Stegostoma tigrinum: one gene and its partner. The protein of the gene in region 2 purifies or fractionates together with the protein of the main gene of each other region. This does not show direct contact. Links are inferred from orthologs where the notes say so. Each region holds a gene or a part of one and is shown on either strand. Other genes may lie near its edges. The genes, in order: mtmr1b and sbf2.

The links.
Region 1: the proteins of sbf2 (region 2) and mtmr1b purify together in Homo sapiens (affinity purification with mass spectrometry; 3 studies listed by BioGRID and IntAct, with this or other methods). This does not show direct contact. The link is inferred for Stegostoma tigrinum from reciprocal best matches to the Homo sapiens genes SBF2 and MTMR1.

Annotation. Positions count from the first base shown.
Region 1 is NC_081368.1:14,657,814-14,673,803, forward strand, and holds the start of mtmr1b (myotubularin-related protein 1b), read right to left. Parts: upstream 7,315-15,990; 5' UTR 7,233-7,314; coding exon 7,138-7,232; intron 7,122-7,137; exon of another isoform or gene 7,026-7,121; coding exon of another isoform or gene 6,991-7,025; exon of another isoform or gene 6,942-6,990; intron 1-6,941. UniProt on the Homo sapiens protein: Lipid phosphatase that specifically dephosphorylates the D-3 position of phosphatidylinositol 3-phosphate, generating phosphatidylinositol. Could also dephosphorylate phosphatidylinositol 3,5-bisphosphate to produce phosphatidylinositol 5-phosphate.
Region 2 is NC_081370.1:26,317,420-26,333,224, reverse strand, and holds the start of sbf2 (myotubularin-related protein 13), read right to left. Parts: upstream 8,080-15,805; 5' UTR 8,003-8,079; coding exon 7,948-8,002; intron 1-7,947. UniProt on the Homo sapiens protein: Guanine nucleotide exchange factor (GEF) which activates RAB21 and possibly RAB28. Promotes the exchange of GDP to GTP, converting inactive GDP-bound Rab proteins into their active GTP-bound form.

The DNA of each region.
Region 1 (15,990 bases), on a different chromosome or scaffold from region 2:
CAATGTTGTGCCGACCATTGATCCTCATGTATACATCCTCAAATTTCTGTGACCATATACATGTCCAGCAGTCTCTTAAATGACCCCAATGACCTTGCTTCCACAACTGCTGCTGGCAACGCATTCCATGCTCTCACAACTCTCTGCGTAAAGAACCTGCCTCTGACATCCCCTCTATACTTTCCACCAACCAGCTTAAAACTACGACCCCTCGTGCTAGCCATTTCTGCCCTGGGAAATAGTCTCTGGCTATCAACTCTATCTATGCCTCTCTATGTTATAAAACAAGGTACAGCAGAGCTTTAGAATTACGTTCTGTTTATTAAAGGGCAGAACATGGCAAGTATAGGTGCAGCAAAATTATAAAGGAGGATTTCAGATGTTGATGTATTTTCAACTTGGCTCAGTCTTTTTGCACTGCTCTGTTGTGACTTTTCATCCTTCGATGTTTTAATTTAAATCTACTCTCTAGCCCTCCTGTCAACGGAAACAAGTCTCACCATAAATTCCGCTGCCTAAAAGAGAACAATACCAGCTTCTCTAGTGTCTCCATGTTGCTACAGTCCCTCACCCTGAGACTATCTGAATAAATCTCTCCTGCACCATTCCACATGTCTGCCTTTATGTGATACTAAACATATAGTCATAACATTAACTCATATTGCCATATGTTAAACAAATAAGATAGTCCTGAGTTGGTCAAATTCTCAGCGTAATATACATATATCATGAACACTGAAAAACGCAAACACTCGGAAATACTTCTCAGATTCCAAAAAATTAGATCATCTAAAATCGGAGGTGCAAAATATTCATTCCCAGGAGTTTATAGTTGATAGTTTAGAAGATCAGTGAACTGACACGTGTATTTCCCCACTCCGCTGGTCTTCACGGTTATTTTCGATTCCCCACTGGAAATCTTTTATACTCATGCCAGAACAAAACCTGCAGGGTCTGAACCCATTCCCCTTCTAGTCACCAAGGATCAGATTCACAAAGCAAATCAACTAGACAGCCACCAACAGAAACAAAAGCACAGAAAATGCTACTAACATACAATCGTTCAGTCAGTCAGCACCTACAGGCTAACATTTTTGGGAAGGGTCTTTCATCAGAACAGTGAGGTTTTGGCAAAGACTTCACCTGGAATTCTAACCCTTCTTTACCTGCTGCCTGCTCTCGTGCTTTTTTGTCTTTGCTCCCAGACTTTTAGCAAATGTATTCTGTCGTGTATTTTCACATCAACAAAACATTCAATGGAACCAGCTCAGCATTTATCAGGAAACAGAAGACAACTGGTCCGTTCGCACCTCAAAACCCACAACCTCTACCTCTTAGAAGGACAAGAGCAGCAGATACATGGAAACACCACCCGCTGCAAGTTCCTCTTCAAGTCAGCACACCACCTTTACTTGGAAATTCACATCACTGTCTTCACAGTTACTGGGTCAAAATCCTGGAACTCCCTCCCTGACAACTTTGTGCACGTATTTACACCAAATGTAGTGGTTCAGGAAGGCAACTCACTACCACTTTCTCAAGGTCATTTAGGGCAATAAATGAAGCTCCAGCCAGCAAAGCCCACACCCCATGAAGAAGTAAAGTAGTTAAACAGAGAAAATAAGTTTGCCAAATTTGTGAATAACTGCAAGGCAAGAGAACTAGTACAAGTCCTGCTCCTCTGATGCTGCCTGGCCTGCTGTGTTCATCCAGCTCCACACCTTGTTATATCAAAAGTTTATCAAGATGTGTCTTGTCACTCAGAGATAGTAAGAACTACCGATGCTGGAATCAGAGATAACAGAGCATGGAGCTGGATGAACACAGCAGGCCAGGCAGCATCAGTGGAGCAGGAAAGCTGATGCTTCGGGTCTTTTTCTGAAGGGTCCCAACCCGAAACGTCGGCTTTCCTGCTCCTCTGATGCTGCCTGACCTGCTGTGTTCCTCCAGCTCCACACTGTGTATCTTCTCACTGATGTGTTGGTCAGTTGGATCCAGTCATTTAAAATAAATGGCACCCCACACTTTTGTGTACATCAAGTTGTAAATTAATTACATTGTAAACAATATTGAGATTACTTATGAGGAAAGGCTGAGGGACTTGAGGCTGTTTTCGTTAGAGAGAAGAAGGTTAAGAGGTGACTTAATAGAGACATACAAGATGATCAGAGGATTAGATAGGGTGGACAGTGAGAGCCTTTTTCCTCAATGGAGATGGCTAGCACGAGGGGGCATAGCTTTAAATTGAGGGGTGAAAGATATAGGACAGATGTCAGAGGTAGGTTTTTTTTACTCAGAGAGTAGTAAGGGTGTGGAATGCCCTGCCTGCAACGGTAGTAGATTCGCCAACTTTAAGGGCATTGAAATGGTCATTGGATAAACATATTGATAATGGAATTCATTATAATGGAATAGTGTAGGTTAGATGGGGTTCAGATTGGTTTCACAGGTCAGCACAACATCGAGGGCCGAAGGGCCTGTACTGCGCTGTAATGTTCTCTGTTCAATGTTCTAATGAGCATCGAACTGGGTTCAAAGGCTGGGCAAATTTCAACTCTTCGGTCCAGAAATTTATTTCATACGAGTCCTTCCATTTGTATGAAGTAATTTCCTAGTAATGCACTTAAATGTTGCTGAACATATTTCAGTAAAATCTAACAGCAAGGTAATTGTTCAGATTCTACACATTCAGGATATTTTCTTGAAACAATGCGCACATTCTCTTAACACTGAGCAGAACTTGTAGGCACACGGCTTCCATTTCACCAATTCTGAAACAGTGCAAGTGCTCAAACTGTAGTTCTGTCCTGTTAATCCCTCTCCATATGACACTCGGAAAGATGAGGATTCAACCATTACCTGTAGCATTATGAAACACTCAGACATGTAGACAAGTCTGGTTAAGACAGGGGCCTGGTATAATGCTGATGTTGGGGTTCAAGGAGCCAGTCTTGTAAACTACCCTTCATATCGTTGCAACATTTCTCTGCCATTTGCAGGCTGACCAGAAAAATGTCACGATTGCCATATCTCCAACCTCTGCCATTTGAACATGTGAAACGGGAGCAGAATTAAACCATAGAGCCCCTCGAATTCTGCTCGGCCATTCAGTAAAATCACGGCAGGTCTGTTTGTGTTTTGAATTCCACATCCCCACACTACAAACCCCTAAGAACACTTGATTCCTCTGGCTAATGAGAGTTTGTCTACCTCTGTTTTCTAATTATACAATATCCTCCAGCATATTCTGAGGCAGAAAATCACACAGGCTTCAGTGAACGAGCTAAACACACAAATCAGGAGCAGGAGAAGGTGTAGATGCTCGAACCTGCTCTTTCATTCAATAAGATGCTGGCTGATCAGACTGTAATTTCAAATTCATATGCTTGCCTATCGTCACAATTTTTGATCACCTTGCTTATTAAGGATCCATCCAGCTCTCCTTCAACATTTTAAGGACTCTGATTCCACAGCCTTTTCAAGAAGAAAGTTCAGAGACCCACAACCCTCAGAGAGGAACAAAGAAAAATCACTTAATCTCTGTTTCAAGTGGATTATCACTGGCTTTTGAACAGTGACTCCTAGTTCTAGCTTCTCCCTTGACGTCCTCCACATCAGCCCGGTCAAAACTCTTCAGGATTTTATATCTCATCTACCTCTACCATTGGGCCTGATTTAAGGTAGAGTTCAGCTTTTTTTGTTATGAATTTAGAGGTGTAGAAGTTACAGACTGCACCAGCATTTATTACCTTTATTATTGTGGTGAACCTTGAACTGCTACAGCTCACGTGGCACAGGGACGGCCACAATGCCATTCGGGAGGGAGCTGCAAGATTTTGACCCACTGAAATGGTGATATAGCTCCAAGCCAGTTGTTGAGTGGTTTGGAGGGGAACTTGCAGGTGGTTCTATTCCCATGTATCTGCTGCCTTCTTCCTTCTAGATAGAAGTGGTCTTGGGTTTGAAAAGTGCTGTCTAAGAAGGCTTAGTGAATTTCTGCAGTGCATCTTGTAGATAGTACACACTGCTACAGCTCACGTGGCACAGGGACGGCCACAATGCCATTCGGGAGGGAGCTGCAAGATTTTGACCGACTGAAATGGTGATATAGCTACTGATCTCCAGTGGTGGGTGCTTGTGGGTACAGTGCCAATCAAGCAGGCTGCTTTGTCCTGCATGGTGTCAAGCTTCTTGAGTGTAGTTGGAGCTGCACCCATCCAGGCAAGTGGGGAGTATTCCATCACACTCCTGACTTGTGCCTATCGCAGGATATGCTTTGGGGAGTTAGGAAGCAAGTTACTCGCTTCAGGATTCCTAGTCTATGACCTGCTCTTACAGCCACTGTGTTTCTGTGCTGAGTCCAGTTCAGTTTCTGTTCAATGGATGTTCAATCCCCAGGGTGCTGATAGTAAGGGATTCAGCTTAGCCCTTTATCTCACTTGCTGCTTATATTTTTTGGCATGCAATTTGTTCTGTGCTGTAGCTTCCCCAGGTGACATCTCATTTTTAGATATGCCTGTCCTCCTGCACTCTTCATTGAGTAAAGACTTGACAATAGGAACTAGGAGCAGTGGTAGGCCATTCAGCCCCTCAAGCCTGCTTCACTGTTTGATACGATAGTGGCCGATCTCATCTTGGCCTCAGTTCCACTTTTCTGCTCCCTCTCCATAACCCTGCAACCCCGTACTAATTAAAAATCTGTCCATCTCTTCCTTAAATTTATTCAGTGTCCTGTGAATAATAGTTTTATGAAGCCAGATTGAACAGTTTAGGTCTATATTCTCTGGAGTTTAGAAGAATGTGCGGAGATATGTTGAGGTGTCCTGATATCTAATGCACTTGGAGGTAGTAAATTCCAAAGTCATGGCACTTTGACAGAAGAGATAATGGGAACTGCAGATGCTGGAGAATCCGAGATAACAAAGTGTGAAGCTGGATGAACACAGCAGGCCAAGCAGCATCTCAGGAGCACAAAAGCTGACGTTTTGGGCCTAGACCTTCACTTTGACAGAAGCAGTTTCTTTCTACATGTTTCTGCTACCCCTCAGCCTAAAACTGTGACCCCTCATTCTAGATGGGCCCATATAACGCATCCTTTCCAAATCTACTTTCTCAATCCTTTTTAACATCTTATATACCTCAATATGATCTCCACACATTCGTCTAAACTGCAGACAGTATAGGCCTAAACTGTTCAATCTCTCTTCATAAAACATGCCTTTCATCTCTGGAACTGATCCAGAGAACCTTCTGAGGATCGCTGCTGAATTTCTGTAGATACAGCAGACTACTACTACTGAGCATTGACGGTGGAGCGAGTGGTGGCCTGGCTTGATGATAATGTTGGGAATGGGAAGTCTGGTGGACCAAGGGGTCGTTGATTGTGCTTAAGTAAAATTCTGCCGCTGCTGATGGCCTATAGCACACCCGATGCCCAGTCTTGAATTCCTAGATCTGTTTGCAATCTATCCCCTTCTGCATGACAGCAGTGCCACACAGCATGATGTAGGGTGTCTGCAATACATGATCATGACTTCAGCTACACAAGACAGTTTCTGTTTGACTTCAAGACGACCAGCCAGGCTGCATGTAACAGCTTTGTTTTTTCCTATTTTTACATTGGATCTGGATGAAGTTCGTAACTGCTGTGTCTCCTTGTATGATCACTGCTGAAATCAGTCATCTTCAGCCCATAATTAGTTGTATTTACAAGTCTGCCAATGAGATAAGGAATAAATAACCAGCATAAATAACCATAAACTATTTGCACTGGTTGGGCATTCTAAGACTACACAGTATAGTTTGAGAATTAAGGCTGGATTATTCAAGTGAGAATGTTTAGAAGCACTTTGACACACAAAAGGCATAACTCTCTCTTACGCAAAGGACAATGGATCAGTTGTCAGATTTAAAATCTGAGATAGATAATGTTTTTCTTAAGCAATGGGTATTGAGGAATATGGGACAAAGGCAGGTACGTGGAGTCAGGTTACAGATCAGCAGTGGTCTCACTGAATGGTGGAAAAGGTCCGAGGGGCTGAATGCCCTGCTCCAGTTCCTAATTTACGTGAAGACCGGCTCAAAGCTGCAGGCCGTTTTTTTTGGTGGGTACCTTGATAGGAAAAATAGTTTACATTTAAGTAAAACTGTCCCTCATTGCGGGACCACGACTTCACATAACTTCACCAATTTCTTTCAGCAGCTTCATGAATGGGATGATTTCTACCACATCACCGGCCTGTTCAGAAAATAATTAGACCCAGGAAGGAAAAACATTTGTAATAAGTTGGATTAGCGCAACATTCAAAATGCAATTAATGCAGTTTTCTGGTTAACGTGAAAACATTCATATACAAGTGTTCACATTCCAAAACCAGGAATTGACGACACGGCAATTAGTTCAAAAGACACTGGCCCAAAATGCACCTTCCGACGAGCCTGCAGCCTGAGCTCTCTACACTTTTCCCTGGAATTCACGGCCTCTTGTGTCCCTGTTCCCAACAGCGCAGCCCATCCCAGTGCAAACCCAACCGGGACTCCATGCACCGTGCCCGGGATCCCAATGCAAACCCAGCCGGGACTCCATGCACCGTGCCGGGGCTCCCAACACAAACAGAGCCCGGGATCCGTGCACCGTGGTTGGGATCCCAACACAAACAGAGCCCGGGATCCATGCACCGTGGATGGGATCCCAATACGAACAGAGCCCGGGATCCGTGCACCGTGGTTGGGATCCCAAAACAAACAGAGCCCGGGATCCGTGCACCGTGGTTGGGATCCCAAAACAAACAGAGCCCGGGATCCGTGCACCGTGGTTGGGATCCCAACACAAACAGAGCCCGGGATCCATGCACCGTGGTTGGGATCCCAATACGAACAGAGCCCGGGCTCTATACTCCGCGCCCGGGATCCCATTGCAGAGCCACCGGGCCTCCACGCACCGTGGCTGGGATCCCAATACAAACTGAGCCCGGGGTCCATTCACTGTACCCGGGATCCCATTGCAGATCCAACGCAGGCTCCATGCACCGTGCCCGGGGATCCCGATGCAAACAGAGCCGGGGAAAGTCGTGCTCCACAGGCGCCTGGGCGGCTCCCTCTACCCGCTGGCCCCAGTCCCAGGCCTGGACCCGCTACCTTTCCGGTGAATCCAAGCTCGCTTGCCCGGAGCCAGTGGCCAAGCGCGGTGGCCTCTTTGTGGCCAGGCTCTCGGAAGTGCCCAGCCTGTCCATGGCGGCCGCCTTTTGTTAGAGGCTCGGCCTCGGAAATCCTCTCAGTAACAGCTTCACTCCGGCGCTTCCTCTTCCTGTAGCTGCGCAGAGTCAGAGTTCAGCTGCAGCCAGCGCCGCAAGGAGACCGACACCTGTCAATCACCGGGACATGCACCTGTCAACCACCGGGACATACACCTGTCAACCACCGGGACTTGCACCTGTCAACCACCGGGACATACACCTGTCAACCACCGGGACTTGCACCTGTCAATCACTGGGACTTGCACCTGTCAATCACCGAAACTGACACCTGTCAATCACCGGGACTTGCATCTGTCAATCACCAAAACTGACACCTGTCAATCACTGGGACATGCACCTGTCAATCACCAAAACTGACACCTGTCAATCACTGGGACATGCACCTGTCAATCACCAGGACTCACACCTCTTAATCACTGGGACATGCACCTGTCAATCACCGGGACTTGCACCTGTCAATCACCGAAACTGACACCTCTCAATCACTGGGACATGCATCTGTCAATCACCGAAACTGACACCTATCAATCCCGGGACATGCATCTGTCAATCACCGAAACTGACACCTGTCAATCACTGGGACATGCATCTGTCAATCACCAGGACTGACACCTGTCAATCACCGGGACCCACACCTGTCAATCATCGGGACCCACACCTGTCAATCATTGGGACTGACACCTGTCAATCATTGGGACCAACACCTGTCATTCACCTGGGACCAATAGCTGCCAATCAACAGGCTGACAGCTGTCACTCCCTGAGAATGACAACAGTCAATCAATAGAAGACAATGTTCCCGGCACCATCAGTGTTTTTAAATCTTTCTGATCGTTGAAAATCAGCAGGTTGCCAGCCGTCCATCACTAAGTGATAACCCTGCAGCTGGATGGCCATCTGTCAATCATTGGGAAGGCTGGAGATGCATTAGATTGATGCACAAGGTGCAAGAAAGCATTCTCAAAGTTCAATTTCACTGTCTGGGCCCAGCATTTAATACTCATCCCTAACTGTGTGTGAGGAGGCCATTAGAAGCTAATTTCATGAATTATTGCAGTACTAGTGATTTAGGGACAACCACAGTAGTGTTAGGAAGGGTGTTACTGGGCAGTAACTGAGTAACAGTAAAAGGACTACAATAAATGGTCATGTCCAAACGGTGTGTGACTTAAAGAGCGATTTTCAGGCGATGCTGCTCCTACATACCTGCAGCCCTTGTGCAGGTGGTGCATGTCCTGATTCAGATGATGCTTAGAAGCCTTAATAAGTTAATGCAGTACATTTTTGTAGCTGGTGCACTCTTTGCTATTGTGTGCAGTGATGAAGAGCACAAATAAATAAGCTACCAGTGCCTGACAGTGCCTTTTAAAAACGTAAAGAACTGTGGATGATGTAAATCAGGAATAAAAACAGAAGTTGCCGGAAAAGCTCAGCGAGTCTGGCAGCACATCTGTGAAAAAAAAGAGCTAACGTTTTGGGTCCGGTGAACTGCGGAAGGATCGCCAGACCCGAAATGTTAACTCTGATTTAAACTTATCCAACATTTCCAACTCATTTTCTTGATGGCTTATCCATTAATCAGTGAAGGTTTCAAATCAAGTTTGCTGTTCAATAGGAAAGCAAAGAACACAAACAAATCTGAGGAGGGGATGGACAAACAAAGCAGCTTCGTCCCAGTCCTGATTTTTCTATTGCTGGATACAAAGAGATCCTGGAGATTTTTTTGTACTCACATACCTGAACTAATTTCTTAAAATTACATTCGTAAAATATTGCATATTTTACATTTTTCTCCAGTTTAAAAATTATAAAGAAAATAGCCCAAAAAACTGAAATTGAATGAAACAATTAGCCACACAAGGACCACAAAATTTCACTTACTGAAATCAGATACTACTAGATCATGTCATAAACATCAAAGGGTAATAAAGACCTGCACGTTGACAAAATTAATGTCCAGATAATATTCTAACACAAAAACATGAAGCACACTAACATTCAGCTGTCTAGACAAATGCATCCGGTAATTTTCCTCTTTTCCCAAGCAGACATTTCCTGTAATTTTATATTTAATATAAGTCCAGTGACTGTTGTTTTTGTCAGCTCAGTTAACAGTCATTACAGTTGCACCCCAGGACATTGTTTTGCAGCATGCTCTAGCAAACGTTCCAATTGTACAACTGCATTTTCTCATCACATTGAAATGTCTGACAAATGCTGATAACTTACTACAGAGCACTAATTGTTTCAATTTCATGACTTACTGTGTTGTGTTTTAAAAAGACTTCAATTTCATTATGCATAAATATGCTACTATGATAAGAGTACATGGTAAGCCATTGTAAATAGTCGGTCTGTTACCATTAAACTCTGAACCACCGAGAAGAGTTGGAATTAGAAATAGTATGGCAGCAAGTAAAAAGCATGTTTATACAAACTGAGATGTTTCAAATTCTCCCATGGAATGTAACATTACTTGCATTGTTACCCATCCCTAATTGCCCTTGAGAGGTTGGTCGGCATTTTCTTGCTCAGCTGTAATGCATGTTGTTCAGGTACACCTACCCTGTTAGGAAGTCAAGTTTCAAGATTTTGAACCAGTGACAATGAAGAGGTGATCATATAATTCCCAAGTCAGGCTGGAGTGTGGCTTGCAGGGGAATTGCACATGCTGGTGCTTCTATATATCTGCTGTCTTTGTCCAATGCGGTAGAGCTCACAGATTTGGAAACTGATATCAAAGCAGTCTTGGGGTGGTGCTGCAGTGCATCTTACAATTGATACACGATGCTGCCACTATGTCGGTGATGGAGAGGGTGGATGTAGAATGTGGTGAATATGGTGCTAATCAAGTGGACGAGATGGCTTGGAATTTCTTCAGTGCTGTTGGAGCTGCCCCATTCAGTCAAATGGAAATTGTTCCATCACACTCCTGACTCATGTCTTATGTAGTGTACTGGCTTTGGAAGCAGCAAGTTATCTTGGATTTAAGGAGACTTCTAAATGCAAAATTAAAATTAAATGAATATTTACATTTCATTGTCAACATCATGGTGATTTGTGTATATTTGTTGTGGGTGATGCACAATTAGCAATACAAGCATTATATATTAAACAGCACAATTTGACTATTGAACACAATACTTTAGGGATTGCAAAGTGGTTCAGTCATTAGTATTGTTACCCCACAAAGCCAGAGATTTGTGTTCAATTCCACCCTCAGGCAAAATGGGTCAATTGGCTGAAAAACAGCAGATGGAGCTCAATCTGGTAAATGTGAGGTATTGCATTTTGATACAACAAACCATGGTAGGGCTTACACAGTTAATGGTAGGGTTTTGGGTAGTGTTGTAGAAGAGGGACCTGGCAGTCAGGTGCATAATTCTTCAAAGTTTGCATCACCTATAGACAGGGTGGTTAAAAAGGCGTTTGACACGCTTGCCTTCATTGTTCAGCCCTTTGAGAATAGAAGTGAGAAGTCATGTTAAGGTTGTACAGGACGCTCCTGGAGTACTGTATCTAGTTCTGGTTGACCAGTTACAGGCAGGATATTATTAAACTGGTGAAGGTTCAGAAGAGATTTACCAGGATGTTGCTAGGTATGGGAGGTTTCAGCTCCCCTCTCACGTTACAAAATGTGCTCCCCAGTCTTCAAATCCCACACCCTGGTGGAAAGACAATTACCATTAACCCTATCTTTACCCCTCATTATTTTATAAACTATTATCAGGTCACCTCTCAACCTCCTACATTCCAGTAAGGTTGCAGCCCATCTAGCCTTTCTTTATAACTCAAAGCACGGGTGAAGACAGCAGTAATTGTAGCATACAGTATTCATGCTTTATTATTAAGGGCATATAAGAACAGGAAGGGCATGTTGAACTTATACAGGATACTTGTTTGACCTCAGATGGAATATTATGTACAGTTGCAGGCACCAGGTTATAAGAAAAATGTGCATGCGTAGGGCAGAGTGCAAAGGTGATTCACCAGAATGGTTCCAGGAATAAGTAGTGATATCTTGAAAGGTGTCCATATTACAGAAGGGGAGGTGCTGAACATCTTAAAATGAAGTTAGATAAATCCCCGGGACTTGATCAGGTGTATCACAGAATGTTGTGGGAAGCTAGGGAAGTGATTGCTGGGCCCCTTGATGAGATATTTGTATTGTCAACAACCACACGTGAGGTATTGGACATCTGAAGGTTGGCTAATGTGGTGCCATTCTTTAAGAAAAGCTGTAAGGAAAAGCCAAGGAACTATAGACCAGTGAGCTTAATGTCAGTGGTGGGCAAGATGTTAGAGGGGATTCTGAGGGACAGTTACACACACATGGAAAGGCAAGGACTGATTAGGAAAAGTCAACATGGCTTTGTGTGTGGGAAATCATGTGTCACTAACGTGATTAAGTTTTTTGAAGAAGCATCAAAGAAAACTGATCAAGTCAGAATGGTGGCATTCTCTATATGGACTTTAGTAAGGCCTTTGACAAGGTTCCACATGGTAGACTGGTTAGCAAGATTAGATCGCATGGAATACAGGGGGAGCTAACCAATTGGATACAAAACTGGCTTTATACCCTCTTGATCTTACACAACGATATGCAAATAAAGAATTCATGAAAAATGTTTATCAAGAGTCAACCATGTTGCTGTCAAGCTGGAGTCAGATGTAGACCAGATCAGGCAGATGATGGCAGATTTTCACCCCAGCACTCATCAAAGGAACAATAACAGTAGGACATAGATTTAAATTGCTGTGCAAAGGAATCAAGAGTAATATGAGAAAACAAAACTTGTTCATACAGCAAATTGTTAGAGTGTGGAATGTATTACCAGGAAGTTTAGGGAAGGCAGGTTGATTGCCCAGAACTGAGGAAGGGTCACCAGACCCAAAATGTTAACTCTGATTTTATCTTCATAGTTGACTGCCAGACTGGCTAAGCTTCCAGCAAATTCTGTTTTTATTTCCGATTTACAGCATCCGCAGTTCTTTCAGTTTTGATTGCCCTCTGAAATGGGCCAGCAAATCACTGAGTTCAAGAGTAATTAGGGATGCCCAATAAATGCTGTTCCAGCTAGCAATGGCCACTTTCCTTGAGTGAATATAAAAACGAATGGTCTATTACAAAGTATATTAGCTACCCTGTAGCCCTGCTAAGGCTCAATGGCTCCCGAAGCTTTCATGCTTCAGATGTATAATTTTCATTTTTAAATATAAAATTCTTTTCCCTCGCTTGGTCTTGTTGTATAAGACAGTTCGTACCCAAAAGTGTTAACTGATACCATGAGATAAGCTTCACCCACCAGAATACTAAGGACTGTTCCTGGGAGCGGCCAACCAGTGTTCAAACTGTTCGGTCACGTTTAAGTTGTGGACAAGAACGTTTCAGTGGAAATTATGTGTATATATTCTTAAGTACAGACTGGGTTCTTAGAAAATGATGTGGAAGTGCCAGTGTTAGACTGGGGTGGACAAGGTCAGAAATCACATGACACCAGGTTACCTCGAGCTCTTCACTTCACTTGACAAAGGGGCTATGCTCCAAAAGCTTGTGCTTTCAAATAAACCTGTTGGATTGATGTTGAGATTTCTGATCTTAGAAAAGACACTGATGTTCCTCAAATGTAATGTAATTAGCCTAATAGTTTATTAAGATGAAGTCTATTTTCTGCTGCCAACTGTGTGTGGGCATCCTTCTCCAATTGGTATCAGTAACTTGGACTAATACCAGGGAGGATTCATGGAAACAAATCCACTGGAAGCATCCCAAATGCTTCCAATGAACATGGCCTCAACACAACATATTTGCAACTCCCAAAGCTGCTAGCATTGTGCAGGGGCATTGTGGGATTTTGCAATCTTATAGCATGCCCTAGTTCTGTGACTCCATCATGCATGGTGAATGTTTACAACCCAAACAGTTTTGTGTATCCCCATCCTTTGCCCATCATTGATTGTCATTGTATTAATTGTCCATAGTTCATGGTTTGAGATTTATGTCCTGAACCCCGTTGCTTCCTCCCGTGGCCAGTCTTAAACATAGAAAATTAGAACGCAGGACTAGGCATTCAACATGATGATGGCTGATCCTCTATCTCAATGCTGTATTCCTATTTTTCCTCCATACCCCTTGACACTTTAAAATCTTAACATTTATCTCTCCCTTTCTCAAACATGTTCAGTGACATGGCCTCCACACCTTCCACAGGTTCTTTACCTTTTCAATGGAAAAGTATTTTCCTCAACTCAGTCCTAAATGACCTCCCCTTATCCTGAGACACTGGCTCTGGTTCTAAACTCATTGACCAGGGGGGGAAAAAAAAATCATTCCTGCATCAAGTCTGACCAGCCCGGTTAGAATTTTATATCTTTCAAACAGATCTCGGCCTTCTAAAGTCTAGTCAATAGAGGCACACTCAAACCTTTCTCTCCTGATAGGACAATGCTATCACTTTTCAGCCTCAGCCTCATGAACTTTCACTGCACTCTCTCGAAGGCAAGTGTACCCCTTCTTGGTTAGGCAGACTAAAACTGTACACATTACTTCAGATGTGGTCTCACTGGAGTAAGACATCTCCGCTTCTGAAGTCAAATCCTCTTGCAATGAAAGCTAACATACTATTTGCTTTCTTAATTGCCCACTTTACCTACCTGTCTTTCATTGACTAGCATACAAGGACACCCAGGTCCCTTTGCAAGTCCTCATTTCCCAATATATCTCACCATTCACATAACGCTTCTTTTGTTCACATGGAAGTGAATAACTTCAAATTTAGCAAGGTTGTACTGCAATGTGTTTGCCCACTCATTTGTCTCATCTAAATCATCTTCTCCTCACAACTCATCCTGCCCAGTGTTGTATCATCATAAAATGTTGGATTTGGTTCCCTCATCCAGATCATTTACATGTGGCCATGAAAGCTGGAGCCTAAGCACTGATTCTGGGTGTGCCCACTAGTCAGTGCCTGCCACTTCTGTCCACTTTCTTCAATTAATAGCTCTTTCCTTGGCTGAGAGTCAACTTTCCTTTCATCTCAGCAAACGACTGAGACAATTTCTCTATTGAAGTGTGGTTGTTGCAAAGTTTTCATGTCACAGTGTATACAATGTTACCTGGTTATTCAATAGTGAAGAAACCAGTTAAGCACACTCCTATCTTCCCTGTGTAGCCATAGTTCTATTATCAGAAAACATCATTCTCCATTGTCACTGAGGTCAGCTGTTATCTCCCAATGATTACTAATGGATTCATTTGGAGACTGGGGCACACTGTTGTAATGCATAGGAAATATACAGTAGATTTTGCAAGCATTAGTTTCATGTTGTACACTTTTTTAAAAGTCTGGAAATATCAGATTTAATCTTATTTTGTACAGGTATAGAGTGATACATATTCTACACATCATGCTATGACTGTCTGAAGGTGGGTCCTTTGATTAAAAAAATTCATTCACGGGACATGGACTGCACTGGATAAGCCAGTATTTATTGCCTATCCCTAATTCAGAAATGGAACCAAACTGGGCTAGCCATATAAACGCTGTTGTTATGAGCAGGTCAATAGGCTAGAAACTGTGCAGCCAGTAATTTATCTAATTGCCCAAAGCACAGTTGAGAGTCAACCACATTTCTGTGGGTCTGAAGTCACATGTAGGCCAGACCAGGTAAGGATGACAGATTTCCTTCCCTCCTGGACTTCAGTGAATCAGATGGGTTTTTCTGGAAACCTAGGTCCCCAGACCATTACCTGGGTCTCTGGGTTAATAGTCTGGTAGTAATACCACTAGGCCATTACCTCATTACCTGAAGAATTATTTAGACATCACAGGCAAGATTAGATTTCCAGTAGCTCCTCACAATCAAGTATCTGTCCCTCAGTCATTCAACTCCACACCAAGTACCCCCTGCACTACAATTGCAGGATCAGAAGCGATGGATACAGGACAATGTACAATACAGGCTTCATTAAATTTCATGATCAATATAAGGTTACAGCTATTCTATCAAATAGTAGTATATGATTAAGGGACCCTAGCATAACTGGAGTCAATGGGAATGGAGGGGGGAGTTTTTGCTGGCTGGAGTCATACCTAGAACATTGGACAATGCTTGTGTTGTTGCAGGTCAATTACCTCAATTCAAAGAAATTACTTGGCTGTTAAGTGGTTTCCTCAATGATTTTCTCTCCATTATAAAGGTCAGAAGTGGAATGTTTACGCAATATTTCAGGTTGAGTAAAGAAGGGTCACCAGACCTGAAATGCTGACTCTGTTTTCACTCCACAGATGCTGTCAGACTGGTTGAGTTTCTCCAGCTGTTTGTTTTGTTTTAGGTCTTCAGCATCCGCAGTAGTGTTTCTTGGACAATATTCCAGGTTGTGACAAGTGGTAAACAACATCCAGGCCATGCAATTGACGAGCAATGACCATCTCCGACAGAATCAAACCATTGTGTTTGATATTAAATGGCAATACCATCACTGAAACCCCCATTGTCAACATGCTGGGGGTTACCATTGACCAGAAACTGAACCGAACTGAACTAGCTATATAAACGCTGTTGTTATGAGCAGGTCAATAGGCTAGAAACCGTGCAGCCAGTAATTTATCTAGTCACCTCAAAGTCTGTCCAGCATTTAAAGGGCATAAGCGAACAATCCCCACGTGGCTGGATCAGAGCAGCAAGGGGAAATGGTGGCAGCATAGTGGTCATGTCGCTAGATTAGCAATCT
Region 2 (15,805 bases):
GAAAAAGAGATATTGCAGATTGAAATGACAGAATTGGTGAGGATCAGCTCCTCTAATAATACCATTCCATCAACTCGCAAAAAGTACAGGAGAGAGTCAGGCTGCAACTGTAGCACCAAGCTACAAAGGGGATCTGTGTTGCCATTGAGGAAGTTGCAGATGGAGCTGAGAGCCAGGGCTTTTACCTGATGAGTGGGGAAACAGACTGCAAAGGAGAAGGAAAAATAAGAGCTGGAGGTAAAGTTAGCCAAAAATCAAGAGAGTTACTTTGGATGTTTAAGAAAAACAATGAGTTAGATCAAGTGTTGGTCTTACAGAAAATTAGGCTGAGGAATTAGTTACAGAGGACAAAGAGATGGCAGATGAATTGAACAGATATTTTGCATCAGTATTCATGAGAGGGGATATGGGTAGCATCTGGAAATAGCTGTAAATCAGGAGTTGAAAGGGAGGGAGGAAGGCGAGAAAATTACATTTGCCAGGGAAATGGTAATGGGTAAACTGTTGGAACCATGAGTTGACATGGTTCCAGGTCCTGGTGGATTTCATCCTAGGGTCTTAAAAGTAGCAAGTGAAAGTTGATGCATTGGTTTTAATATTCCAAAACTCTTAGATTCAGCAAGTTTCCTTTAGATTGGAAAGGAGCTAATGTAACTCCTTTGTTCAAAAAGAAGGAAGACACAAAGCAGGAAACTTCAAACCAGTTCGCTTAACATCTGTCTTAGGGAAAATGCTGGAAGCTAAAGATGTTTTAACAGGGCACTTAGATGAGTTCAAGTTAATTGCACAGAGCCAACATGGCTTTGTCCAAGGGAAATAATGTTTAACTAATTTATTGGAGTTCTTTGAAGTAACTTGTGCTGCAGATGAAGGTGAAGCAGCAATTTATTGTACTTCGATTTCCAGAAGACGTTTGATAAGATGCCACACAAATAGTGATTGCAGAAAATAAAAGTTCAAGGTGTAGGAGACAGCATTTTGGCATGGACAGAAATTGGCCGATAAGAGGAAACAGAAGGTAGGAATAAATAGGTCTTTTGTGGACTGGCAGGATGTTACAAGTGGTGTACCACAGAGATCAGAGCTATGATATCAACTCCTTATATTTATATCAGTAACCTGGTTGAAGGGATTGAAGGTACTGTAGGTAAATTTGCTGAAAGAAAGTTGAGGAGGATAGAAGAAGCCTGCAAAGGCTTGTAGGTAGGTTAAATAACTAGGAAAGGTTTTGGAAAATGGGAGTGTGTGTGAAATTGTCCATTTTGGCAAAAAGAATGAAAAAAGAACATATTTCTAAAAGGTGAGAAGGTGCAGAGATCTGAGTGTCCTAGTGCATGAACCACAAATGGTTAGTAATGCAGGTACAGTACATAAACGGGAAAGCCAATAGAATATTGTAATTTATTGTGAGGAGGACTGAATGCAAGAACAGTGAAATTATGCTTGTTGTTGTACAGGGCATTGGTGAGAAGGATGTTGTGTGTCATAAGCAGTTCAGATAAAGTTTACTTGACTAATATCTGGAATGTACAGATTGTAGCATGAGGAAAGATTCGCTAGCTTAGGCCCATATCCTCTGGAGTTTGAGGCACAGAGGCGGCCTAATTGAAACACAAGATCCTGAGGGAGACCTGACCAGATGAACATGGAAACAGTATTTCCACTTGTTGTCATTTTCCCACAAGAGTTATTATTTAAAAATAAAGGGGGCACCCATTTAAAACAGATGAGGAAACACTTTTTCTGCCAATGATCAAGTGTTCTTGAATTCCCTTCCTCAAACGCTGTGGAATGCAGAATCTTTAAATTTAAGGCAGAGGCAGATTCTTGATTACTATGGGGATGAAAGATTTTCAGAACTATACAAAAATGTAGAGTTGAGGTTAATATCATGATCTGAATGAATAGTGGAGCAGACTCAAAGAGCCAAGTGACTCTTGCGACTTGTTCATGTGGTCGGCAAGTGTTCATATAGCTCAGTCTAGGTTCAGCTAACTTGTGAAAGTTTCCCATCAGGAACATATTTTATTCGCCCTTTCTAATTTATTCCTGGAGATTAATGCATTTTTGAGTGGGAGCAGATAGCAAAGAAAAACACAGTGAGGTTTAGATTCGTTGAGGCTTGATGATTGCACAATTATGGTGTGGAGCAAGTTTAGTGTACAAGTTGATCTTTACAGAGTATCAGTATCAATTTTCTGTATATTTATGGTCTACCCACCCCAAATTATTTCAAATGTTAAAATCATTAACATCTGCATACTTCAGTCATTTGTTGTGTTAATGTTATTTTATTTACTGCAACCTTTCTGCTCCACACAAGGTGACTGCCACAGGTACAGCCAGAGCTTTGTGGAAAGTGACTTGTAGGCAAGTCATAAGAGAGCAAGAAAACCTCTCAAACATTTTCTTTTAGGTTATAACAGCTGTATGCCAACTACTGTTTTGAACACTGCATTGCTTCTGATATGAACTCTTAAAGCCACCTATGATTATCTTAAAATACATAAATAGCTAGAGTAAATTAATCTACACTAAAACAAAAGATCAAAGAACTATACGTTCATTCATCACTTTGAAGAAATGAAAATTTCTCTTACATCACAAACTGGTTAAAACATATTTGACAAATCATGTTAGTCATTTCTGTAAACTCCACTATTCAGACATTCACATCACAAAAGGAAGCCATTCACCCCATTACATCCAGAACAGTCAAAGATCTGACTGCACTAACCAACTTTCAGCACTGGGCTCATAGCCAGACAAGCTACGGCAGTGCAAGCAAACATGTAAATGCTGCAAGAGTTTCTAGCTCAGCCATCTTTTCAAGCATTGAGCTCCAGACTCTCATCGTCATCTGCAAAAAGATTTCTCAACTCTCCCATTAGCCTTCTACCTCTTACCTTAAACCTACGCCCCTGGTTTCATATTAATGGAAAAAGGTGCTTTTCACTCCACCCCATTTATTCCCTTTATAAAAAAACCTTATACACCTCCATTAAGTGCCCTCAACCTTCACTGCTCCAAGGACCCTCCAACATTGGCAACATCCTGGTAAATCTCAACAAATGCAGACAATACGGTATCTCTCAGAATTCTAATAACTGTCCCATCATTGAGGTTAAACTGACTGGTCTGTTATTTTTTGGTCTGTCCCTTCCTCCCTTATTTTTTTAAATAAACAAGACAATGTTAGCACTTCTCCAGTCCTCACTACTATAAAGGCAGTGACCAGAGAGGCTAGTATTCCACATACCTTAACCACATTTTTACCTGCCCTGCTACCCACAGGAATCTGTGGATACACACACCAAGATCCCTCTGATCTTCAGTGTTTCCCTGGGTTCTGCCATTCATAATGCAAGGGATATCACTATCTCACTTTTCCAGACTGAATTCTATTTGCTACTGCTCTGCACAGCCGATCAGTCCATCGATATCTTCTTGACATTTACAGCTGCTCTCCTCAGTATTAATCACTCTCCTAACTTTCATCCCTTCAACAAACTTCTTGGTCCATACCTACTATGTCTACCACCTAATGATGAACCTACACAAAAATCAAGGACCCTAGCACCAAGCCTTGAGGAGCCTCACTGGAAATAAACCTTCAATCACAGAAGTATTTCTCTTCCCTTACCCTGTAATTCCTGTAGCTCAACCAATTTTGGATCCAACACGCCACCCTGTCTTGGACTCCATGCATTCTTAAATTAACGAAGTCATATAGATTACTTTAAATGCATTACCCTCATTAACACTCCTGGTTACTTCATCAAAATTCAAAACTGACAAACAAAATCTTCCTTTCGTAAATCTATGCTCATTCATCAATGTCTCGCTGAGAGCAGATATATTCTGTCCCTCAACTCTTGTAACTGCCTCACCACCAAGGTTAAACTGATCATTTCCTGGTCTACTAAAAACAAGGAAGAGGTAATGGGACAACTTAGCAGTTCTTCAGTCCTCAAACACCTCACCTATGCTCAGAGAAGATTTGAAAATTACTGCCAGAGTCCCAAAAACCACATCCCCTGCATCCCTCAATAGCTTGGGATACATTTCATACAGATCTGCAGACATATCCCTACTTTTAAGACTGTTAAACCCCCTTCTTTCTATCAACTTCAATTTCTTCTGATATTTCACTGTCCTCCAACCTGATGTCTATACTGGAGTCATCTTTTTCCATTGGGAATACTGCTGCAAAGTATTCATCTTCCAAAAGGAAAACTTCTGTGGTATTTAATGGGCTTATTTTCTTGCTTTTTATTATTTTTTGGAAATCCTTGAGATTTTCTTTTATTCTAAATACCTGAACTTTCTTGATCTCACTTTTAAAGGTCTCCCATGCACTTTTTATACTCCTCCAGAGACTCTTCCACTTGGTATCTGCCGTAAGTTTCATGCGTTTTCTTAATGTGGAGATGCTAGTGTTGGACGGGGGTGGACAAAGTCAGAAGTCAATGACATCAGGTTACAGTCCAGATTTATTTGAAATCACAAGATTTCTGTTTTGAAGTCACCCGAAGGAGAAGCACCGCAAAAGCTTGTCATTTTTCATTAATCCTAAGCATTGTGTCCCTTAACCCCATCCTTGTCTTTACTGAAAATAGGTTTGCCCTGTTCTCTTACTATTTCCTCCTTGAATGTCAAACTGTATTTTATCATAGTAAACCGAATGATAAATAGAAAATAATACACCATGATCCTAGACCCAAATACAAATCATCACCCTTTTAATTGTTTGAAAAGACAGCCGTCAGTGGCTTCATGCAACTCCACCCCCTGCTCTGGATTACAATACAGTCAAAGCACCTTCTTGTCACCTAGTTGTACCCCTGGACCAGGGTGCTTGCGTACAAGTTCAACTTGCTCCAGAGGTGCTAATACATCTGAATAGGGTGATTAAAAAAAAATACATTAAATAAAAGAAAATTGAAATTTGAAGAACATGAATGGCGAACAATACAAGGAAACAATCAGCAATGGCCTTGACCACTCATAAGAAATATCAAGTTTTATGGCTTCTGTGCTCCTTCATTGACCCCGCAAATTTGTATGAATATGAATACAGGCAAACTTTAAATACATTACATTGCCACATACATCTTTATCAGGGGCTGTTAATAGGAGGGATCTCTGGCCTTTCTTTTCTCTTTCTCTCTCTCTCTCTTTCTGGGGCTCTTTGGCCTTGTAGCTGCAGTCTTCAACATGTCCAGGAGCAAATAGTCCATGTATTTTGGCATGCACCGAAAACATCAGGAGGGTAGCACTTGTTTGCTCTCAATTCTACTCATTAGAGTTCAGAAGAAACATATACAATGTCAGAATAAAATGTTTAGGTAATCCAGTGAGTTTCAGAAAATCATTATACAGATTCTAAACTGAGTTTTTCTAATCTGTAAAATTAGAATTTTATGTACTTACGTTAAACAAAAATATTAACTGGGATAGTGTAGGGCACGGGCTTAGATTAGCTCACAGGTTGGCGCAACAGCGAGGGCCGATGGGCCTGTTGTGCACTGTACTGTTCTATGTAATTCCAGGAATCATAGAATAACAGCAAAACCATTCTCAATTAACATTTTGATTCTTAAGAATAGCCCATATAAACAGCAGGGAGGCAATTAAATTCATAAAAGAACATTAACTTTCTGAAGAAAGACAGGCACTGGATGGTGCACCATGCGACTACAACATGTATCTTCTCGATTACATAAACAGATACTTTTATTTTGCAGTCAGGTCTATACAAAAATATCCTAAACCTCCCAAACACAAACAAAATCTGGAATTAAAACAAGTTTGTCACAATTTCTGGACATATGTTTCAAAGTACACAATTATGTATTACAATGGTAATTTATTTGCCTTGCAGCATTTATTTTTGCAATCACAGAATTAAAACTGTAGTAGTGCACACAGCTGGCCTTCGTAACATAATAGAATCATAGTGAAATAAAGTTGTTTGCATTGTGCCCTGAAGAGGAGAAACTGTAGGGTCTCTAAGTAACTGTCACTCACTCCACATGATTGACTTCTAATACTCTTTATGCTTACTTCATTAGCCACTCAGTAGCGAAATGCTCAAGGGACAACTAGAAATGGACAGTAAATGTACCAATGTCCTCCAAGAGAAAAAAGTTTTTAAAAGCAATGCAAATAGTACCACTCAATATTTTCAGATATTGTGAGCTTTTAATGGTAAGAGATTGACAAGTGCATTGTTACTTAAAAAGTGGGTATTAACAAAGTGTTGATTATGGGTATGATTTTAGGCACTCATAATAAAAACAAATTTAGAAAGTAGGCCATTCAGTTCCTCAAATCGATTCCATCCTTCTACTTTATTCGTAGTTCATCTGTACCTCAATTCTAATTCTGATCTTAGCTCCCTATCATTTGTCTCAATTAACTCGTAATCCATATTCTACATTATCAGCTAACTGTACACATAAATACATACTTGGCTTTTTTCAAACAGACTAAACAAAAAGTGCCATGGTCAGTCAATGATATCCTTTTACCAAAAAAGGAGCTTAAAATTCCTTCAAATGTCAGTACAGATAAGAAAATGGCACTCCAAAAGCTCAGCTTTTCAAATAAACCTGTTGGATTATAACCTGGTAACCTGTGACTTCTGACTTTGCCCACAACAGTCGAAACTGGCACTGTCATATCATGCCTTACATTATCCCACATTATGCTCCATCTACCGCGACCTTCCCATTCATTAAGTTTCATCAAAAATCCTCTTCTACATGTCCCTCACAGTCTCACTGAGCTTTACATCACACGCAAATTTGGAAATATTACATTTGGTCCCACCTCCAAAAACAAAATCACCATGCTTATGACTTGGCGTCAATCTCCTATCATTTCATCCAGAGCTGGTTCAGACAGCATCCTTCTGCACTCTAATAATTGTGATTCTGCAATCATGAATGCCTAAAATCTGAAGGTATTCATATGTACTGAAATATCCTATTTTTTGTTCCTTTTCCTCTTTCAGATATTGACAGACCATACAACACCAATATCTGTTTCTAAAACAAAGGTTACATGGTGTGAATTCTGTCCAAAGGGCAGTGCCAAAGTGTAAAAATGTAATATTTCAAACAAATCAAGACAGGACAAAAGCATTATCTGTATGGATAAAATACTATTTTAGGCATTTACATTATATATCATGGCAAGAGATTGCGTATAAGCTTTGTAAAAACTGGTCTAGCAAGTGGTTGCTGTGGTCAAAGAGGATGGCCATGTCAGTCTGGAGTTTCAGCAGCTGGCCATATTCTTTGGATGTCTGTAAAATACTGACACAGCTCCTTTGGTTTCGTATACTTCATGAGGGCAGGTTATTTGGACGTTACAAATGAGATGCCAAGTTGCTATTGCATTCCTTGAAGAACATAAGTCGCAAACTTGAGATTTCCTTTTTAATGTATTACTTTTTCCTCTGCTAATTCATTTGTGTCTTTTTAACTATAGACATATGTACTACTAACATCAAAGCACTTCACTGGAAATGTTCGGTAGCAGTAACACAGGAAAAATAACTGCAACTCAAGGCTACCGCCGTACTTACAAGAACATGTGTTAAACTCTCCAGTCATTCCGCACGCCAATCATTCGTCACTCCAAATACGACAACAGATTTGTTCTCCTTTATTATTTTGAAAGATTCAGTTATCAGACTACACAAAAACTAAACTAACTTGCAGAAAAGACCTTAACAGGCCAGACCAGCTCACATTAGTCATATCACCATCTTATAATTAAATAACAAAGCAGTTAAGTTTCCACCCTTGTCCCACCGGAACAACTCAGCTGCTCTGGCAGGCACTCACGGCCTAACAGGACTCTCCTCAGACCAAATGAAATGGCCACACATCTAACGACGTCTTGTAAAATTTTGAGCTTGTTTTAGTAAAAACTCACCCGTCTTTTCAGGGTCGTAACCAACAACCACAAAGTAATCGGCCAATCTCGCCATTTTTCGTGAATTCAAGGTTCGAAACAGAGAAACTCAACATTTTTCATACTGGTAAAGCTCAGCCATGTTGAAATCGCTCCCCCCCCCCCCCCCGAGAAGACAATACGCGTGCGCTGACAGGCCTGACCCTGATTGGGCGGCGGCCTGGCTTCACTGGCTGTGCAAGCTCGCGGAGGATAAGTGGTGCTGGGGGAACAATTGGAGTCGGGAGAAGTAAGGACGGGGAAAGCAATCCGAGCCGCGAGGAGTCGGAACAATTAAAGCCAGGTCAGCCAGCAGCATTCTTATCAAGTCAAGTCGCTTCTGGAAACCAGGGTTTTGGGATGCACATTTACTGTTCCATTTCCAGAAGTGTTCAGATCACCACAGAGTGTTTCTCTCTCTTTCCCATTCGAGGGATGGGACGCAACCTGACGAGGTGATACACGCTTGTTATCCTCGTTATTGCTGCAACTTGAAATGCTTCGTTATATATAGCTCCAGGTCGAGCAACAGAATCAACAGCTTAAAGTGATTGGAGCAATGCAATTCGAAACATTCAAGCTGACAGTCTTGGAAAGACTGCAACCAGAATAATAGTGTCAAATTTGTGATTTTCAATAAAATCAAACACTGCAAATCGAAGAAACGGAAAACAATAAAATCAAAAATTGTGGCTTAAAACCAACAGGTAAATTGATACGAATCCGAGCATAGTTGCATTCTACGGTAGTCGGCTAGTATGCTGCGAATATTCTGCAAGAGAGAAGGATATAGTTCAATTCAACAACTGAAGGAACAGAAACAAAAAATGCTGGAATGTTTGAGGACAGAATCCGTGGGAAGGATAAATAATTCCCGTGTAGTCCTTCATCACTTCTGAATAAGGGTCAATATTAGAAACAGTCGGACCGTCTGTTCTGTCTGCAACTGTTGGGTGAACTACGCATCTACAACATTTCCTGTTTTCATATTTTCGGTATTTGCATTTGGTCTTCCATTGCGTTCTACAATTTAAGCAGCAGATAGTTGCATACTGACTGTCAGGGGTCGGATGTGTCAGAATCATTACGAGTACCCAAAAAGTGAGCACAGATGTACATAAAAGAGTTTGTGCAAGAGGCTTGCAGTGATATCAAAGGTAAAATCTGTGGGACAGTGACAAACGTTGAGAAAATGTTAAGTCATCAGTGACAATAGTGTTTACAGTCTTGTAGGATATTCAGGCTTCAGAGAGTTCAGCACATTGCTAATATGAGGATATGCAAATAAATAAAAGGACTGAAATCTGTATCTTTTGATTTAGAACAATTCAGGACAATATAATTAGTACTGTGAAACAGTGGAATAAGATTTATAGAAGTAGACAATTTGCAGAGATACTCTGGATTTCACTTCCATTAGAATCATAAAATAATTGCAGCAAGTAGGGAGACCATTCAGCCCAGTGTGTTCATGCTTCACTTTCTACAAGAGCAACTCATCTAGTCCTACTGATGTGCATTTTCCCTATAACTCAGCAACATTTTCCCTTCAAATAACAACACAGTTCTCTTTAGATATCCTCAATGGAGGCAGAAACTGTATCAATATTGAAGGATAATTTAGTAAAGGTTTGGGAGGTTAGGGAACAGGCTGGGTTTTATTTTAATATGCAATTTCCATGTCTAGATTTTTTTTAAAGTCCCAAAAAATTGTTCCAAAGTAAGTATGTTTTAAAATAAAATTTTCAATTAATCTAAAGAGGCATACCATGATTAACAGGTATTGTAGTCAATACAGAAAATTCTACTACTTTGAGTTCATTTCCCAACGGGTTGCAAATACTTGAGACAATAGAGACAATCTCTTTCAACCTTATAATTTCAAATAAAGATATAACATAATTTTTCTCGTTTCCAAGCTGTCAACAAAGAAATTACAGTTTTGTTACTCTCAGTAATTAATTGACTAGTACTAATAAAAAAGAGCATTCATAATTTTTCATTCTCAGACATGGTTGGAACAAAGCTTTGAGAATTGTATTGCTAGTTTGTCTCAAAGTCTTTTGATTAATTGAAGGAAACTCAAATTCTTGCAGAATAACATCAAACACTTCACTGCTTTAATTCAGAAATCAACTGATGCATTCTGGGAAATTCACCAGGGTCCACGCTCTTAGAATACACAAATATGTTGGTAATCCTCCAACTGCATGAGGGCAACAATATCCAGTTGACCCATTACATTTTGATTCTGCTAAGGCTAGGAAGTAATAAAGTCTCCAAAGACTAATCACATTTCACTCAAAAACTTCAATAACATTATTCTAAAATATGTAACGACTTTAAAATGTCTCTAAAACATTTGGTTATTAAAAGCATTTTCACTATCAATTCATGAAATATGAGCACCACAGGTAAGGCCAGATTTTATTACAGCCTTCTTGACCTGCTGCAGTTGACTTGATGAGGATACATCTACAGTGCTTTAGGGAGGACATCCCACATTTTGACCAGTGTTAGTAAAGGAGTAATGATTTTTTTCATGACAGAATTTCTGTGATTTAGATGTGCTGGCATTCCTATGAACCAGCTGCCTTTGTTCCGCTTGGTGGTGAAGACTGCAAGTTTGGGAGACATACTCTGAAAAAAACCTTGGTGATTTGCTGCAGTGCACCTTGTAGAGCCTGATATACCAGGGGTGGAGGGAATTAATATTCGCCATGTTGGGTTGTTTGCAGATCAAACAGACTTATTTATCATGGAATGGTTGCATGCCTGTTGGGTGTTAAGGAGACCCACACAGGTAGAAATGATTGCATCATATGTTTGATATGCCTCTGGAAGGCATAAGGTTTGCAGGGTAAATCACTTGGCACAAAATACTTAGCCTGGTACGCTTTTGTCCCAACAGAATGTGTGTAGCAGGTACAGTTTTTAAGTTTCTGGCCAAAGTTGAGCTCAGGATTTTGATCATGGGGAATTCAACAATGGTGACGCTATTGAATGGCACCTGTATGAAATGAATTTTTCTTGCCATCTACCAGTCCAACCTGAATGTTGTCCAGACCTTGCTATATGCAGGCATGACTGCATTATCTGAGGAGTTACAAGTGAAATTGACTTTATAAAAACATCCCTACTTCTGACCTTAAGATATCTGGAATGTCATTATTGTAACAGTGAGGATAATTGGATTTAGCATAGAACACCTACAGTGTGGAAACAGACCCTTCGGTCCAACAAGTCCACACTGACACTCAGCGTATCCCACCCAGACCCATCCACCTAATCTACACATGCCTGAACACTACGGGCAAATTAGCATGGCCAATCCACCTAACCTGCACATTTTTGGATTGTGGGAGGAAAGAAGAGCACCTGGAGGAAACTCACACAGACACTGGGAGAATGTGCAAACTGCACACAGACAGTCACCCGAGGGTGGAATTGAACCTTGTGAGGCAGCAGTGCTAACCACTGAGCCACCATGCCGCCCTCAATGTGGAATTCCTGCAGCTATGTCTTGGAGCTGAAATGAATGGATTGTAACAACTACAATCTTCAGCAATGTATGACTTTAGCTGGTGAAAAGTTTTTTTTTCCCTCACATTCACTGACTTAGTTTATTAGGACTCTTTGATTGTCCAAGTTTTCTTCGATGCAAGTAGCCACTGTCTCCACCAAATATCAGATTTTTTTCCACAAAACTCATTTTGAGTGATTGTAAATTTTTTCTTTAATTGATCATTTTTCTCACCAGTCCTTCAGGATTTATTATTTTTGTCAGGAGTGTGTGATGCCATCCTGTTAGACCAGTTACTGGGGTTGAAGAAGCTGAAGTTACAGCCCACAGAAATGAAACTACCTGGCATCATTGAAATCACTGTCAGGATTGTAAGAATATTACAGGTCACACTGCAATGTACTGCACATAAGAAGTTTTAAAATGTATAAGCAACAGCAATCAAAAATCTTCACATACTAACAGGCAATAATGTGTCAATCTCAATTTCATTAGAAGAGTTCAAGGAGACTGACAACCTCACAGAGATCAAATGGCTTGGAAATAACAGTGTCAAAACACTGCTCCAGGAAACAATACTGTGGCTGAGCAGCCAGTCAATGTGCAATCAGTAGAAGTTTCTTAGATGCATGGCAGAAGCCAAATAGATGAAAGAATCCAAAAAGATTACTTAAATTAGCTTAAGAGAATTATTTCATACTGTTAATAGAGAGAAAGCCAAATGCTCTGCAGGTGGGCAGTAGTAGAAATATTCATTCCTCTGTCTTCTAATACAGTGAGATTTCAAGAACAACTGAAAATGTCAAAAAGTTTACTTTTTCACTCAACCAACGAGAGAGGGTGATTGAAGACATCCAATCGTTCAACAAATTGAGAGGGATAAGTTGCACATTATAGTTGCATGATAAAATTCCGCGTCTGCCAGGCCAATATCTATAATTCAGGACATTGTCAAAAGAAATTGTCTGGCTTAAGTATCCAGAATACTGCAAAGATAAAAAATATTTTCCAATCACAAAGCTATCACAGTTCCAGTAATCCAGGATACTATAAGAAATAAAATATTTGTTTCAACAAAGCAGCTGGCTTCCATGATGGGCAATCACAAAATTAAGGGTCCCTTGGATGAAGTTAGGGAGCACCTAGCTGAGTTATCAAGGAGAGGTTTATCTGTAAAGTGATTGCAGGAGATTAAAAGCCTTCCAGACAGGATATGGGAAGGTCACCATATCCTACAGGGCTGCTGACTTAGAGAGAAATAACTTGTGGGCAATTTACCCTGAGGGTCACCATTCTTCAGGTGAGGGGCAAGGTTGAGAAAGCATGGTGTAGAAATTGAACCCACACTGATGAGTCACTCAGCATTCCAAACCAACTATCCAGCCAAATCAGCTATCTGACGACTCCCACAGCCACTAACCTGTTCCCCCAACAGATAAGGAGCATGTGTGTGAATCACCAAGAAATGATCTCCTCTAGAAAGGATATCCAGGAGGTAAAATATTCTACAGAGGAGAAATTATCCACAGGCTAGTATTAAGGTCAAGCTCAGGCAGAAGATCAACCATTCTTCCAAATCTGAGCAGACTATATCCTGACAAAATTGTGATCTGCCCAGACCGCCTGCATTGGTGAAGTCAGAGACTTGAGAGAAGATGGACTGGTAATAAATTTAGAAATATTAGTGCACAATGGCTAGCAATGGGAAGAAAATCTTGAGGTCAGATTTAGTATGAGGTAATGATTAAGAAAGAGTTAATGTTCATGTTACATTGAACACCACCTGGTCTGATGACATCACACAGGCTTTGGTAGAGGCTGTTGAATTCTGCACCAGAACTCAAAGGGAGTGGATGTACTCTATTTGATTCTTAAGTGTTCTTAACAATTCTACCTGGCAGAAAATATAAACTGTACTTGTTGTTATAAATGCAGTAAGCATTTGATGAAGATGAAGGCCCCTTCTGTTTAGACTCCAGTGGCCTATCACTAACTGCACTGGAAAATGCCTGGGACATTACCCAGGGTGGGCAGAGTCAATGTTAATTTTATGGGGAAAGCATTGGATCAGAATCTGCTGGACACTGGACCTTGAAGGTGCAAATACATGAAGCATGTATTTGCAAACTGAAGCTATATTTCATTTTCAGACATTTCATTGTCCATTTGCAACACCTGCAGAGTTGTCATGTTGAGGGTTCAAATGTTGATTGAAGGTAATTTACACCTTGCCATTTAGTTGTTGTAAATTGAACATTGCTATCTCAGTGAGGTCAAAATTGGCTTAAAAAGAAGTGAATATTAGCCAAAAGTGTCCTATAACTTGTGAAACTTGCAAGGTGCTGTGAGAGGTGGAGACAATTGCTTAATCGTCTGTAATGGTGGGCTGTACTGAATGCAATAAGTTTCCTGATTGATGTGGGTCTGGGATGAGAAGAAGTGCAGCCAGCACTCCATTTGAGTGTATAATGTGTTTTTTTGATTCATTCACGGGATGAGGAATGTCACTGGCTAGGCAGCATTTATTGCCCCTTCCTAATTGCCCAGAGGGAATTTCAGAGTCAACCACATTGCTGTGGGTCTGGAGTGACATGTAAGCCAGACCAGGTAAGGATGGCAGTTTCCTTCCCTAAAGGGCATTAGCGAACCAGGTGGGTTTTTCCTGACAATTGACAATGGATTCATAGTCATCATTAGATTCCTAATTCCAGATATTTATTAAATTCAAATTTCACCATCTGCCAAGGCAGAATTTGAACCCAGCTTCACAGAACATTATCCAGGTCTCTGGATAAACAGTCCAGTAATAATACCACTAGGCCATCGCCTCCGTGTTGGTCACTGAACTTACGCAGCACCATCGCCAAGTTGGTGCACATGCTGAATGAATTATTGAGACACAGGCCTGGTTCTTGGGGTGCTGCATGTCGCGCTATGTGGAGAGGTGTATGCAACCATCATCTATGCCGCCACTGATTATCTCAGAGCTAAGAACCTGTTTTGCTCTGTATGTTTCCAATGCAGGTCATTGCCAGCAAGAGTCATATGCCCAGCTACAGGTGGGATGTTGATCACTGTGGCTGCTTTCCAAGGAGCTGAAGGCTGATACAGAAGGAGCAAGGCTCACAGAAACTCCACGAGCAGCAGCAGAGCACCATGGAGGAGCATCTTGTACAGGCACAGTTGCAGCTACTGTGCCCCTAGGATGCGTTGGGTTTACAGGAGGGATTTTTCACCCCTTTTCTTGCGGATAACCAAGATGCAGCACCAACACAAGCTTCTATGTCCCAGGACACTGTGATGGAACAATGCAGGATTCCAGAGCAGGACTCGAGGGCTCCAACTGTTGGAGGCCATCTTTCCCAGTTCACCCTGTTAATGTGACAACTATGTTGAACTTCTATGCCACTGGCCCCTTTCAGGGAGCAATGAGAAACCTATTTGAGATCTCTCATGCACCCACAAATACTTGAGGACAATGGCTGAGGCCATCTTTGCAAGATCAAACCAGTTCATTTAGTTTCTCAATTACAAGATCGGTGCTGCAGCCTAGCTAGAAGGATTCAGAAATGTAACTGGCATCCCCCAGATCACTTTGGCATTGACTGTGCGGCACATTGCACTGAAAGGACCATATCACAAGTGTGTGTGTAACAGGCACGGGTGGATGTAATCTCCACTGTGCTGACAAAGTGTGCCATATCTTCCGAGCGTGCTGTGCTTTGCACAATTGGACCAGGCAATGAGACAATGTGCTCATTACGGAGATGTGGGAGCACTTTACTGAGGACAAGCACACTGCAGAGGTGGAATCTGTCCTTGTACATGACAGTGGTCAGCTACATCGGGTAGTTCAAGGCAGGCAGGAACTGATTAATTATTTTTCTACTCAATGAGCGCTAGATGGAATGCAAAATAGTCATTCATCATCATGGCAGTATTTTGTTTGCATTGTGGAGATGAACTGCAGTCTCTGTTCATTTTGTTTGTGTTAGCTCTTATTGATTTTAAATAAAACCTTGTTTTGGAATTGTCTGATTGTTTGCCAGTATGTGGTGTTCATGTAATGAACTATGACAAAATCCAGGCTTACAGTGGGCATTGAGGACAGTTTAGCAGTGATCTAGAGAGGGCGTTGAGACAGATGTAGCTAAGAACAGCTAAATTGTGTAGCCTAGTAGCTAAACAGGATTGTATATATGAGGGAATGTCAACCATGCCATCTTTGTGCTGTCAGCTATGGCTTTGTGGCTGCTGGTGAAGGGCAACACCAGACTGCCAACATTGCTTCAGGTGCACAGAGCCTTTTAAAGATAG